3 linked regions of the Alligator mississippiensis genome follow. The protein of the gene in region 1 interacts with the protein of each later gene in a pairwise test. Links are inferred from orthologs where the notes say so. Each region holds a gene or a part of one and is shown on either strand. Other genes may lie near its edges.

The links.
Region 2: the proteins of JUNB (region 1) and BATF interact in binary tests that used the Homo sapiens proteins (3 or more experiments, as listed by UniProt). The link is inferred for Alligator mississippiensis from reciprocal best matches to the Homo sapiens genes JUNB and BATF.
Region 3: the proteins of JUNB (region 1) and BATF3 interact in binary tests that used the Homo sapiens proteins (3 or more experiments, as listed by UniProt). The link is inferred for Alligator mississippiensis from reciprocal best matches to the Homo sapiens genes JUNB and BATF3.

What each region holds. Positions count from the first base shown.
Region 1 is NC_081831.1:22,791,840-22,795,114, forward strand, and holds JUNB (transcription factor JunB), read right to left. Parts: upstream 2,388-3,275; 5' UTR 2,375-2,387; coding exon 1,238-2,374; 3' UTR 531-1,237; downstream 1-530. UniProt on the Homo sapiens protein: Transcription factor involved in regulating gene activity following the primary growth factor response. Binds to the DNA sequence 5'-TGA[GC]TCA-3'.
Region 2 is NC_081825.1:261,468,095-261,471,839, reverse strand, and holds the start of BATF (basic leucine zipper transcriptional factor ATF-like), read right to left. Parts: upstream 2,765-3,745; 5' UTR 2,207-2,764; coding exon 2,141-2,206; intron 398-2,140; coding exon 293-397; intron 1-292. UniProt on the Homo sapiens protein: AP-1 family transcription factor that controls the differentiation of lineage-specific cells in the immune system: specifically mediates the differentiation of T-helper 17 cells (Th17), follicular T-helper cells (TfH), CD8(+) dendritic cells and class-switch recombination (CSR) in B-cells.
Region 3 is NC_081824.1:189,585,957-189,589,701, reverse strand, and holds the start of BATF3 (basic leucine zipper transcriptional factor ATF-like 3), read right to left. Parts: upstream 2,559-3,745; 5' UTR 2,373-2,558; coding exon 2,295-2,372; intron 1,625-2,294; coding exon 1,520-1,624; intron 1-1,519. UniProt on the Homo sapiens protein: AP-1 family transcription factor that controls the differentiation of CD8(+) thymic conventional dendritic cells in the immune system.

The sequences.
Region 1 (3,275 bases):
GGCAAAGGGTTAACAGGGGGGACCCCCACTTCCTAGGGGATGGGGAGCAGGGAACTTCCCGGAAGCGGGCCTGACCCCGGGAAACTCCCCCCGGGCTGGAAATTGACGCGATCCCCGGGCCCCGCGCCCCCTGCCCGGCAGCGTGGGCGGGGGTTCCCGGCAGCCGGGTGCCCTGACGTCACACGCCCGGGCGTGACCATATATGGGCCTCTTCCTCTGCGTCACCGGGGAAAGCCCCCCCTCCTTACAGCCCTTCTAGCTCGCGATGGGCTCAAGCTGGGTGGAGGAGCGCGGTGGATACGGCCGGGGAAGAGACCCCGCATCTGGACTGGGGAAGGAACCCCCTCCCCGCAGAAGGAGAAACTAAGACACGGGGCCCAGGCCTGACTGAGGCAGAGACACAACCCGGTAGCTCCCTCTCCATATCCAGAACCCCCTAGCACCCCCTCCCCTCATCAAGCGACCCCCCCATCCCTATAATCCAGCTCCCGCCCCCCCAAATCAGAGACCCCCAGAGCCAAAACACGTCCTTTTATATCAAGAAATGTTTCTTTTTACTTAAATAAAAGTGTCCATTAAAAAACAAGAAACAAACAACAACAAAGCAGTAAAACAAGCCCCAAGGGGCTCGTTATTATTAATAATAATTATCATTACTTTTTTTTCCCCATTCCCTCCTTTTAAAACAAACATAAAAGGGGGAAAAACATGGTGAAGACTCTGCCCAGTCAAACAGTCAAACAGACACACACACACACACACACACACCAATCCAGAGGTAAAAAGAAGGGGGTGGGGGGGATAAAACAACATTCCTAGCCAGTCTCTTTGCTCCCCACATTGCTGAGGGGGGTCAGTCCAGGTGGAGAGGAGGTTATCTAGGGTGGGCTGTCTGTCCGTTCCGGGTTTCAGCCTTCGTGGTCCAGCCCCCTCCCCCCCCTTCAAGGAAAAAACAAAACAAAAAAAGAAAAAAACATCGAGGCCTAACATATTGCACCGTCCAGCCATGCAAAGAGGCCCGCTGGCTCCTGCCACCTACCGCCGCCCGGGGGCCAGTGCCTGCCGCGTTCTCCCGCGGGAAAAGTCCCCCCCACCCCCCCGCGCTAACTTTATCCGGCGATAAAGTCCCGGCTGGGAGAAAGGGGGTTGGTGGGGGTGGAAAGCTTGGTTTCAACCAGCTCCGGATTCGTGGTGAGGTGGGCAAGGGGGGCCTGCCCCCTTCCCTAGCCCCCCCGGGTTAGAAGGCCTGCATCTTGACAGCCAGGAGGAGCTGGCAACCGCTGTTCACGTGCGTGAGGACCTTCTGCTTGAGCTGGGCCACCTGGTCGCGGAGCAGGCCGGCCGTGCTGGACAGCCCCGCGTTCTCCGCCTTCAGGCTCTTCACCTTCTCCTCCAGCCGGGCGATGCGCTCCAGCTTCCTCTTGCGGCACTTGGTGGCGGCCAGGCGGTTCCGCAGCCGCTTGCGCTCCACCTTGATGCGCTCCTGGTCCTCCATGTCGATGGGCGACAGTGGCGGGCTGCCGGGCGCCGGGGCCGGTGGCTCGGGGACCGTCTGCGGCTCCTCCTTGAAGCCCTGCGGGCGGGGGTAGCCTGGGGGCAGGTAGCTGAGGTTGGCGCTGGGGTAGGCGGTAGCGGCAGCGGGCGGCGGGTAGCTCGTTAGCGTCGTGTAGACAGGCGCCGGCTCCGGATGCAGGGCCGGGGCATAGGCGCTGCTGGCCGGGGCAGCTCCGAGTGACACGTTGGGCGGCGGCAGGTGGTTCAGCTTGTGCAGATCGTCCAGGGCCTTCACGAAGCCGTCGGCGAAGCCTTCCTGCTCCTCCGTGGGGCCCCGCGGGTAGAAGAACTGACCGGGCGGCGTGGGGGTGGTGGTAACCACGCCGTTGCTGTTCTGGATGATGAGGCGCTCCAGCTCGGGAGAGGCCAGCTTCAGAGAGGCGCTGCCGGCTTCGCCTAGCCCCGCCGGGGCGTAAAAGGCCCCGCCGCCCTCTTCCGCCCCGGCCCGGAGCTGCAGCTGCGCCTTGAGGGCCCGGTACGGCTTGTAGTCAGCGTGGGAGCCCAGCTCGGCCCGGCCATAGCCCGTCAGGAAGGAGTCGTCGTGGTAGAAGGGCTGCTCCATCTTCGTGCACATCCACCCGGGGCACGCGGAGCCCGGGGGCGAGGCCGAGCCGGATCCGGTACGAAAGGCCCGGAGGAAGGAGAGCGGGGGGGTTGGAGATCTCACGCCTCGGAGGTTGCAGGCAGTCACCACCTCCTCTCCCCGGTAGCAGCCGGGTCTCGCGGGGGAGCGGCGCAAGGATGCGGGCGCAGGAAGGGTCCTGGGCACTGCGCACCAGCCACCGTGTGTCCACCCCGGCACCACTCGAGTCAGTGTCATGCGCTGCAACCGCTGCCGGGGCTTGATATACTCCCCCCGCGCGCCGGGCCGGCGGAAACGCGCCTCGATTGGCTGGCTCGAGCGAGGCCACGCCCCCGCCGCCTCTTCCACTGAGCGTCCCACCCCTCCCGAGTGGGTGGGGCGCGTGGGAAAAGAGGGGGGAGGTCCACGCGGGGGGGCGGGTAGTTGTCTGCTACCGACGTTCCCACACGGGTCGCAGCGGACCCACGTAGGGACACGGGGTTCAAGGACACGGCCGCGGCGGGGGTCATGCGGAAGAGCAGGGTAGGGGGCACCCCTCCCCCCCCCACATGAAACCCAGGAGTCCTGCCTGGCAGCACCCCCGGAGAACCCAGGCATCCAACACACCCCCTCACACTCACATCTGGGACACACACACATTTACACAACATACCCCTCTGCATCTGGCATACACACGTGTGCACACACACACAGGCATCTAGGACACATACACACACATACAGAGGCAACTAGGGGACACACACCCATAGAACCAAGGTGTCCAACACACACACACATGCACCCAGGCATGCACACACAGGTATAACCCTGGCGTCCAGGACACACACATGCATGCACATGCACACTGACATTACACAGATGGAGATACAGACACACACATGGAGTCTCGTACACAGACACACAGTCCACATGGTTGCAGACACACACACCGCCAGACACAGACCCCAGGGTGGCAGAGACGCACACACATACACACACATCACTAAGACAGGCAAAGACATGTGGAGCCAAGGGACACATATGCACACGTATACCTGGAGACACACACACAGGGAATACTGGGGAGATCACATGAATACAGAGACATGAAGAAACTCTCATGGGCACACATGAAGCCACATGGACACAGCCACATACA
Region 2 (3,745 bases), on another chromosome or scaffold:
CAGGCCACTCAGAGCACAAACAAGAGTGCAACAAACTGAGAAGGGGGAGCCTAGAGGAGAGCATCCCCTGAGGAGATGTCCAACAGTGCCCACAGTTCATCTGGAAAGAAACCTTTTGGCCCCTTGGCAGAGCTACCTAGTCCCTGCTCTCCAGCTACTGCTAGTGCTGTCAGTAGCACCCTACAGTGGCCCAGGCCCAAAGCCGAACTCTGCTGCACTCCTTAGTGCTGAAATACATTCCCTAATGTGTGCATGCAGTGATCTGGGACAGGCTGAGAAGGGAGGTTCTTACCAAGTGAAGCGTATCTGCCTTCTGAGTCTGCCTCTGTCGGCTCTTCTGGGCAGCAATGCGGTTCTTCTCCCGTCTCTGGACTTTCCTCATGTCGTCAGAAGAGTCCTGAAACACAGAGAGCCTGGGAATGACATGGGCATCGCCTCCCTTCCACTCCCACAAAGGCACAGGGGCGGGGATGCGGGGGCAGCACAAAACAGCCCTGAGCCAACATTCCTCTCAGCAGAGATCACGCCAGCCTCTCCCCTGCTCCACAGAACATGCGCTCCCGTCTGACACACAGCATCAGCTTAAGACCAGGTTGGGGTGCTCCTCTTCTGTACAAGGCTCTTGACATCCCAACCCTGGGGCAAGCCTATGACTCTCCATGTTCTGACAGAACAGGGAAATGAACCATCACAGGCTCCATGGTTCAGGTCTGAAGAACCACAACAGTGAGAGACCAAACAAAACTACCAGCTCATCTTCTCTAGCCCCAGGAGAGCCACTGCTCAGCCCTGCTAGATAAGCTCAACTTTTTCATCTTTTCCCAGAACTTGGTCCCTCCAGGCCTCCTAATTGTTGCAGCTGCTTTCTCTGAGCTTCCTGTATTTTAGTCTCTCATCATTGATCACATAAGGCTCAGAGCTGGCTGCAATATTCCAGGTCATATCTGCACCAGTTACACAGATACAGCTCTTTTCCTGGCCTGGGACATGAGCCTCTCACAACAGCAATCCTCTGCTGAGCTGTCACCATCCCTGACAGCTAGAACTCCCTCCAGACCCTTTCATCTCCTCCCCAGATACTGGCATTGATGCCTCACTGGGCTCACTGACATCTACACCGCCCCCTCCCTCTCGCCAGGGAAATGCCGCCACTAAAGTTCTCTCTGGCCTACCAATCTGTCCACATCCTTCTACCCCACACCTTGTGATCTTTCCATTTCATCACAGTTCAACTTCTTGCCCTTCCCTTCAGGGCCTTCCTAACCCCACCTCTGGCAGGTCCGCTGGCTGGTCTCTTGCCACACCAAGCTCTGTTCCAATATGCCTCTTGAATACTTCTCCCTTGATTGCTTTGTGCTTGCTTACTTTCCTTCTTTCCCTCTCTCTCATCCAGCACACTGAGTGCCAGCTCAGGCCTGTCTGTCCAGGGCCTGTCTGGGAGTTCCTCAGGGTGACGACTCTCCTGCCCCATGCCATGTTGTTGGCACTTGGCAGATAATGTGTGGTAAAATTACAAATATTCAGAGGGGCCAGAAATACTGGGGATACATGTTAAATGAAGCTAGTGTCTGGCCATGGCAGGCATGCTACAGGGCAGATGGAAAGATATATGGAAGAGGCCAACTCACAGGACTTCTCCATCACACACCACTCACTGAGGAAGAGTTTAAGGGGGCTAACAGCAGAGCATGTACAAAAAGAAGCCCTGGACAGATGGGGGCAACAACCTCCAAGGGAGGCAGGAAGGATTCAAATTCATCAAAAGATCTTAATTATATGGGGGGGAGGGCATGCTCAGAGCACATGACAGACTCTGACCCCTGAGGGGTCTCCCAGTTGGCTGGATGCCTTGTGCCTCCACATCCAGCAGCAGGGGGTTCATAAGTCCTCAGGTGCCCTGGTCTAATGAGGTTCCTTCTCGCTCTGTTCAGTGATTGATGTCCCTGGTCTGGAGCTTGCCCCTGCAAGAGAGCTCTGTGCCTCTCCCTGGGCTGGTTCCTAGAAAGCCCTGCCTCTCTGTGCAGCAGATGAGGGCATGTCTCCAGCCCTCACTGAGGATCCCCTCCAATGCCAGCAGCTTTCTGCCCCCCAGGAGCTGACTGAAGAGGAGAGCCCAGAAGCAAACAATTCAAAATGTTACCTGCTTGCTGGGTGGGGGAGACTGGCTGAAGCTGCTGGAGTCACTGCTGTCCGAGCTATGGGGCATGGCTCCTGCCTCCCTCTGCCAAGGCTTCTTTGGCTTCCTTTCTGTCCTCTGTACTCTTGGTGTCTTCTGCTATTACTCTCCCCTCTCCTGTGTCCTCTTTCTCCCCTGGGAAATCTCTTTGCCTCTGTCCCCCAGCCTGTCTCTTTGGCAGGCTGTGGCTCTCCCTTGCCCAGTATCACTTTCTCTGCTGTGCGCCCTGGTCCTGCCCGGTGTCTCTCCTCTCTCAGAGTAATTGCACTCTGCAGTAATATGTCAGTGTCTTTAGGCTCTGGCCCTCTGTGGTTTCTCAGAATATACGGGGGATGCAAGCTGAAAGTCACATGGGCGGAAACTTTAGATGAAGAGTTGCATTCAAAAGAAAAAAAACACGCATCTGGGAAAACGAGCTTCAAAATAGCCCAGAAAAACCCCAACACCTTCGAGTGGTTTAAAAACAGTGGTGAGATGGGTTTCTACAGAGAGCAAACAGCAGAACGGGGGAAGGAGAAAAAACCCCTGCGCCGCCTGTGAAACTCAGACCCTCAAAGGAGGCTGGGGAGGCGGGGAGGAAGTGCTTGCAGGAACTGCAGAAAATTCCAGAGAGGCAGGGGAAGCAGAGTCGATTGCTCAGGTGTGTACATGTGAGCAGTAAGCCCCTAGGGCTCCCTTTGCTGTCCTCTCTGAACTCCTCACTAAGCCCTACTGGGGAAATTCCCAAGCAGATTTTTATTTTCCACCAAACACCTAACACTCAGTGCCAGGGCTTGCAGACCCCAGGAAAAGGCTGAGAGCTCTTGGCAGACTTGCTTACAAGGGATCTGATATGTTGTGGGTTCAGCAACAACACTCTGGACATTGCTGCGCTGAACTAACAATTATTTATTATTATAACTCTCTGTAATCATATCCAGGGTGGATCTTAACAACTGCATCAGTATATGCATACAGATCTTATACCTGCTCTGCCTCTCACTTGACCCGCTCCAGTCCTGCGGAGGGAGAGGAACCAAGGATGCCTCTGGCTCCCCAGGGCAGAGAATATGGAGTCCCCAGTGCTGCAAAACTGCCAGAAACAAGTGAACCCTGCAGTGCTGACTAGAAGGACTTTGGCCTTAAAGGGACAGTACAAGGAAAACACAATAAGACACAACACCCCTCCCCCCAGACAGAATAGTCAGCCAACCATTTGGGAGGACTCCGCTTCCACTATGGTCTTCCCATAGAACCAGACTCAGCGAGGGGTTCAGTGGATGACAGCCCTGTCAGCCTATCTGGAGACTCAACAGCAACGCTTCCTTTTGACAGCGATGGCAAAGGGTTTGCACTGGTGGAAACAGGTAAGCACTTCTCCAACGAATCCATGTCTGTCGGTGGTAGATTGGTGCTTGGAGATTGCTCAGGTATAGGGTTATTAGTAGAAGAACGCCCACGCAGCTGGTCCACGTGGCGTCTCCAAACTTGTTCATCATCAGTCTGGCCTGTGTATGATACAGGTCCTGTGGTGCTTACAATTTTAGATTGAACCACTTTGGGCCTGTCCCGTAGCACCGAGCAAACACA
Region 3 (3,745 bases), on another chromosome or scaffold:
TCTGCGTAGCTGTAATCAGCTGTAATCAGCCACGTAGGACCTTGGGGTCTACTGGGCCCAATCTCTGGTTTTGGTAGCAGCCAAAAGCAGCTGTTGAGAGGAATTACATTTCCTCTTACAGTACCTATTGTATAAACTGATGATTGAAAAAGACCTAAAAGTTTCTGTGAACCCCTTGTTCACAGCTATCATACATTGTGCATGTGGGACTTGGACAGTCTGCTGAAGTTCTTTCCACATAAAGTGAACTGGCATATTGTCCAATGCTGGACAATGCCATCTTGCCGACAGTATTGGTTTCAGTAAAAAACAAAAATAATTTTATTTCGGGTCTTTAGTTTCAACTGAACATGGTCTAACAGCACTTTCTTGATAATTCTTAGCTTTCCAGCCACAATGACCAGCAAGCAAGTATGCTAGAAAATCATGAGTCACTATGTGTTCCCGTCTGAAAAAATGAAAGTATCACGCAACTTAACAAAAGTAATACACTCTCTTCCACTTGAGATGTCTTTATTATTCATCCATTTAAATTTGAAGGAATTTGAAGCTCATAAGAACACTTGAAAGAATCAGATGCTACCTGGGCCAGCTGCTATGCTGATTTCTAAACAGTTTGCTACAGCATCCGAGTCTTGTCCAATGTGTATTACTCCAATCCTGAGCCCCTCTTGTAAAGAAACTGCATATGGCAATAAGCTTATTGTTTGATTGCAGAGGAGCTTTGAAGCAAGCTCTTGTACGTGTTAAGAGAGGAAAAACTCAAAAAACTGTGGTGCTTCCCCTCTAGGTATAATTGTATTCAGGTGTGGTGATGCTTGTAATTTTTCCTGTTCTTTTCTACCAGCCCCAAGGACAAAGAAATAATAGAAACATCTTCTGTGGATAATTCTTATTTACACAGTGTAGAAGACAGATAGAATGCTTGGCTGAATGGGACCTTGAGCGCTATATCACTTACATAAAAGCATTAGTAGCTGAAGTCCTGAATGTTTATATTACAGTGTCATCAGCAGTCCTGCTATACTGGATACTGAGAGTTACAGAAAAGAAACAAAATAGCTATTCTATAAGCTTTCCAACTGGAGACCCAGTAAGCTCTGTCACACTGCATTACTGAGGCAGAGAACACAAGACAATTTTAAAAAAGATCAATGTTTATATAGATAATGAAAACACCTAGTTACATAAGAGTATGAACCCTCATACCTCAGTTCCCTTTGGGAACTGGAAAAGAAGCTTTGCCTGTAAGCTACCATCTCTTAATTGTTCCACCTCGTGATTGTTACACCTCCAGCCAACAGCAGATATTCAGTGTCCGAAACAAAGTATTACATTACAGAGACCACCTGCATGATGTGGCAGGGAAACTCATGCATCTCTCCACCACACCCACAGTTGTTCTCACTAAATTAGTATGAAAAAACCCCCCACGTGTATTTAAGAAATTCCTGGTACTGTTAAATCCCAGACATAGCACCGAAAAAAGACAAATTGAGAACATAAAGGTGTCCATCACCTCATGCAGTTTATCTGCTTTCTGCGTCTGTTTCTTGCGGCTTCTCTGGGCAGCCACTCTGTTTTTTTCTCTCCGTCTTACTTTCCTGTCATCTTCTTCATGACCCTGGAAAACAAACCCACACTTTTCTGAGCTTTCTTTAAAAAATAAAACAGAATTGAGATTTTAAAGCAAGGAAATCATTTTTAGTGTGAACAAGGAGGCAAATCCATGGGTCACGGTGACAGTGCTTCACTCTGACACCGGGCATTCAAAGCGTTCTGCAAGTGGCAACAACTCTCATCGCACCCTTTGTACAGAGAGGGGAACCGAGGCACGCAAGGGCGCAGCGCCCCACTTTCACAGGTCCCAAGCATTTCTGCTCCTGTCGAGATGAGCAGTTCCTTGAGCCAGGCTGGGCAGCAATGCCGCAGCCCAAGCAGGAGCCGCCTGCCTCTCACAGCCTTAACTGTCTGAAAAGTGGATGCAAAACTCTCCGGGATCGCCCAAGGAAGGATTTCACATCCACTTTTTTTTTCAAAGCAGCACAGACAGCCACAGGCACAGCCGGGCGCCAGGAAAGCAGAGCCCCTGACTCCGCACCCCGACCCTCGCTTGGTCCGAGGCTAAGACGGGGGGCAGGGAGGCCGCCTGCCAGCACAGCTACAGCTACAGCCCTCGCCCTCACGGGGGCTGCCTGCTGCTGCCGCCCGGCCCCAGGGGCAGGGGCAGGGGCAGGGGCACCCCCTCCTCCCCGCCCATGCCCTGCCCCGCCCCGCTCCGCCCTGGGCGCTACCTGTGCGGGCGGCTGGTTACCGCCGGCCGAGGCGCTGGGCTGCAGGACGCTGCCGGAGGCCGGGAGCCCGTGCGACATCCCGGCCGCTGCTCCGCCGCCGCCGCCGGCGGGAGCCCACAGCACCGCCCCGGCCGGCTCTAGGGGAAGGCTCCGCCCCGCGGCATCCCGGCAGCGCCTGCACCTGGCGCCCGCTCCTGCCCGGCCGGCCCTGCCCGGCACGGCACGGCACGGCACGGCACTGCACTGCACTGCACTGCCGGGCTTCCCCGGCGCCTGCCCCACGCCGCCTTCGTGGAAGTCACGTGGCCGCGTGGCCCCCCCTGCACACACATGAACACCACACACCCCGACAGCCCTCCCTCCACGTGCACACACACAGCTACAACTGCCCCCCCGCACCGCACACACACACGCCCCCTGACGCACACCCCCTTGAACCGCACCCACCCTCTGACGCCCCCCCCTTGCACTGCACACACACAGACACCCCGAGACACACACACCTCAACAACCGTACAACCCCCACCCCCGACACGCACGTGCACACACACGCCCGGCTCCTCTCAGCAGCGCCACGCGGGGCTGGTTCCCGTCAGCACCCACCGGGGGCTTCTTTCAGCCCCTGCACCTCAGGGCAGCCGCCGTGGCTTGCTGCTCCCTCTTGGCAGTCCGAGCAGACAGAGCAGGGCCCGGCCGGCCCGGCCCCCCTCCAGCAGCTGTGGTGCCGCAGGAGGCGCTGCCCTGTGTCTGAAAGGCCCTCTTGAGGCGTGAAGTTGGGGTGCTCCACAAGGGCCCCACAGCACCCTGGCAAGGGCCCCTGGGATCCTTTCGAGGGTGTTGTGGTGCAGGATGCCCCACCACCGGGTGAGCTCTGTGCAAGCCTGATTCACAAGAGAAGAGAAACCCAGAGATTTCCAACAGGAGCCCGCAGAGTTCAAGCACTGAGCCCTGCTGGGACCCTTCACAGACTCCTAGGACATGAGGGCTGGGAGGACACCTAGTCCAGCCCCCTGCTCAGAGCAGGATCAGCCCTGGCTACATCATTACCACCAGGGGAATAGGAGGTTTAGCCAGGACTTAAAAATCTCCAAGGATGGCAATTCCACTGCCTCTCTGGGTCACCTGGCCCAGTGCTTCACCACCCTCCTAGTGAGAAAGTTTTTCCTAATATCTAGCTTAAACTTCCTTTGGTGCAGCTTGAGCCCATTGCTCCTTGTTCTGTCATCTGCCTCCATCAAGAACAGTCCATCTCCATCTTCTTTGGAGCCACCCTTCAGGTAGTTGAAGGCTGCTGTATCCCCTCCCAGTCTTCTCTTCTCCAGACTAAATTTGCCCAGTTCCCTCAGCCTCTCCTCATAACCCATGTGCCCCAGCCCCCTAGTCTTTTCATTGCCCTCCACTGGACTCTCTCCAATTTGTCCACATCCTTTCTGTAGTGGGGGGCCCAAAAC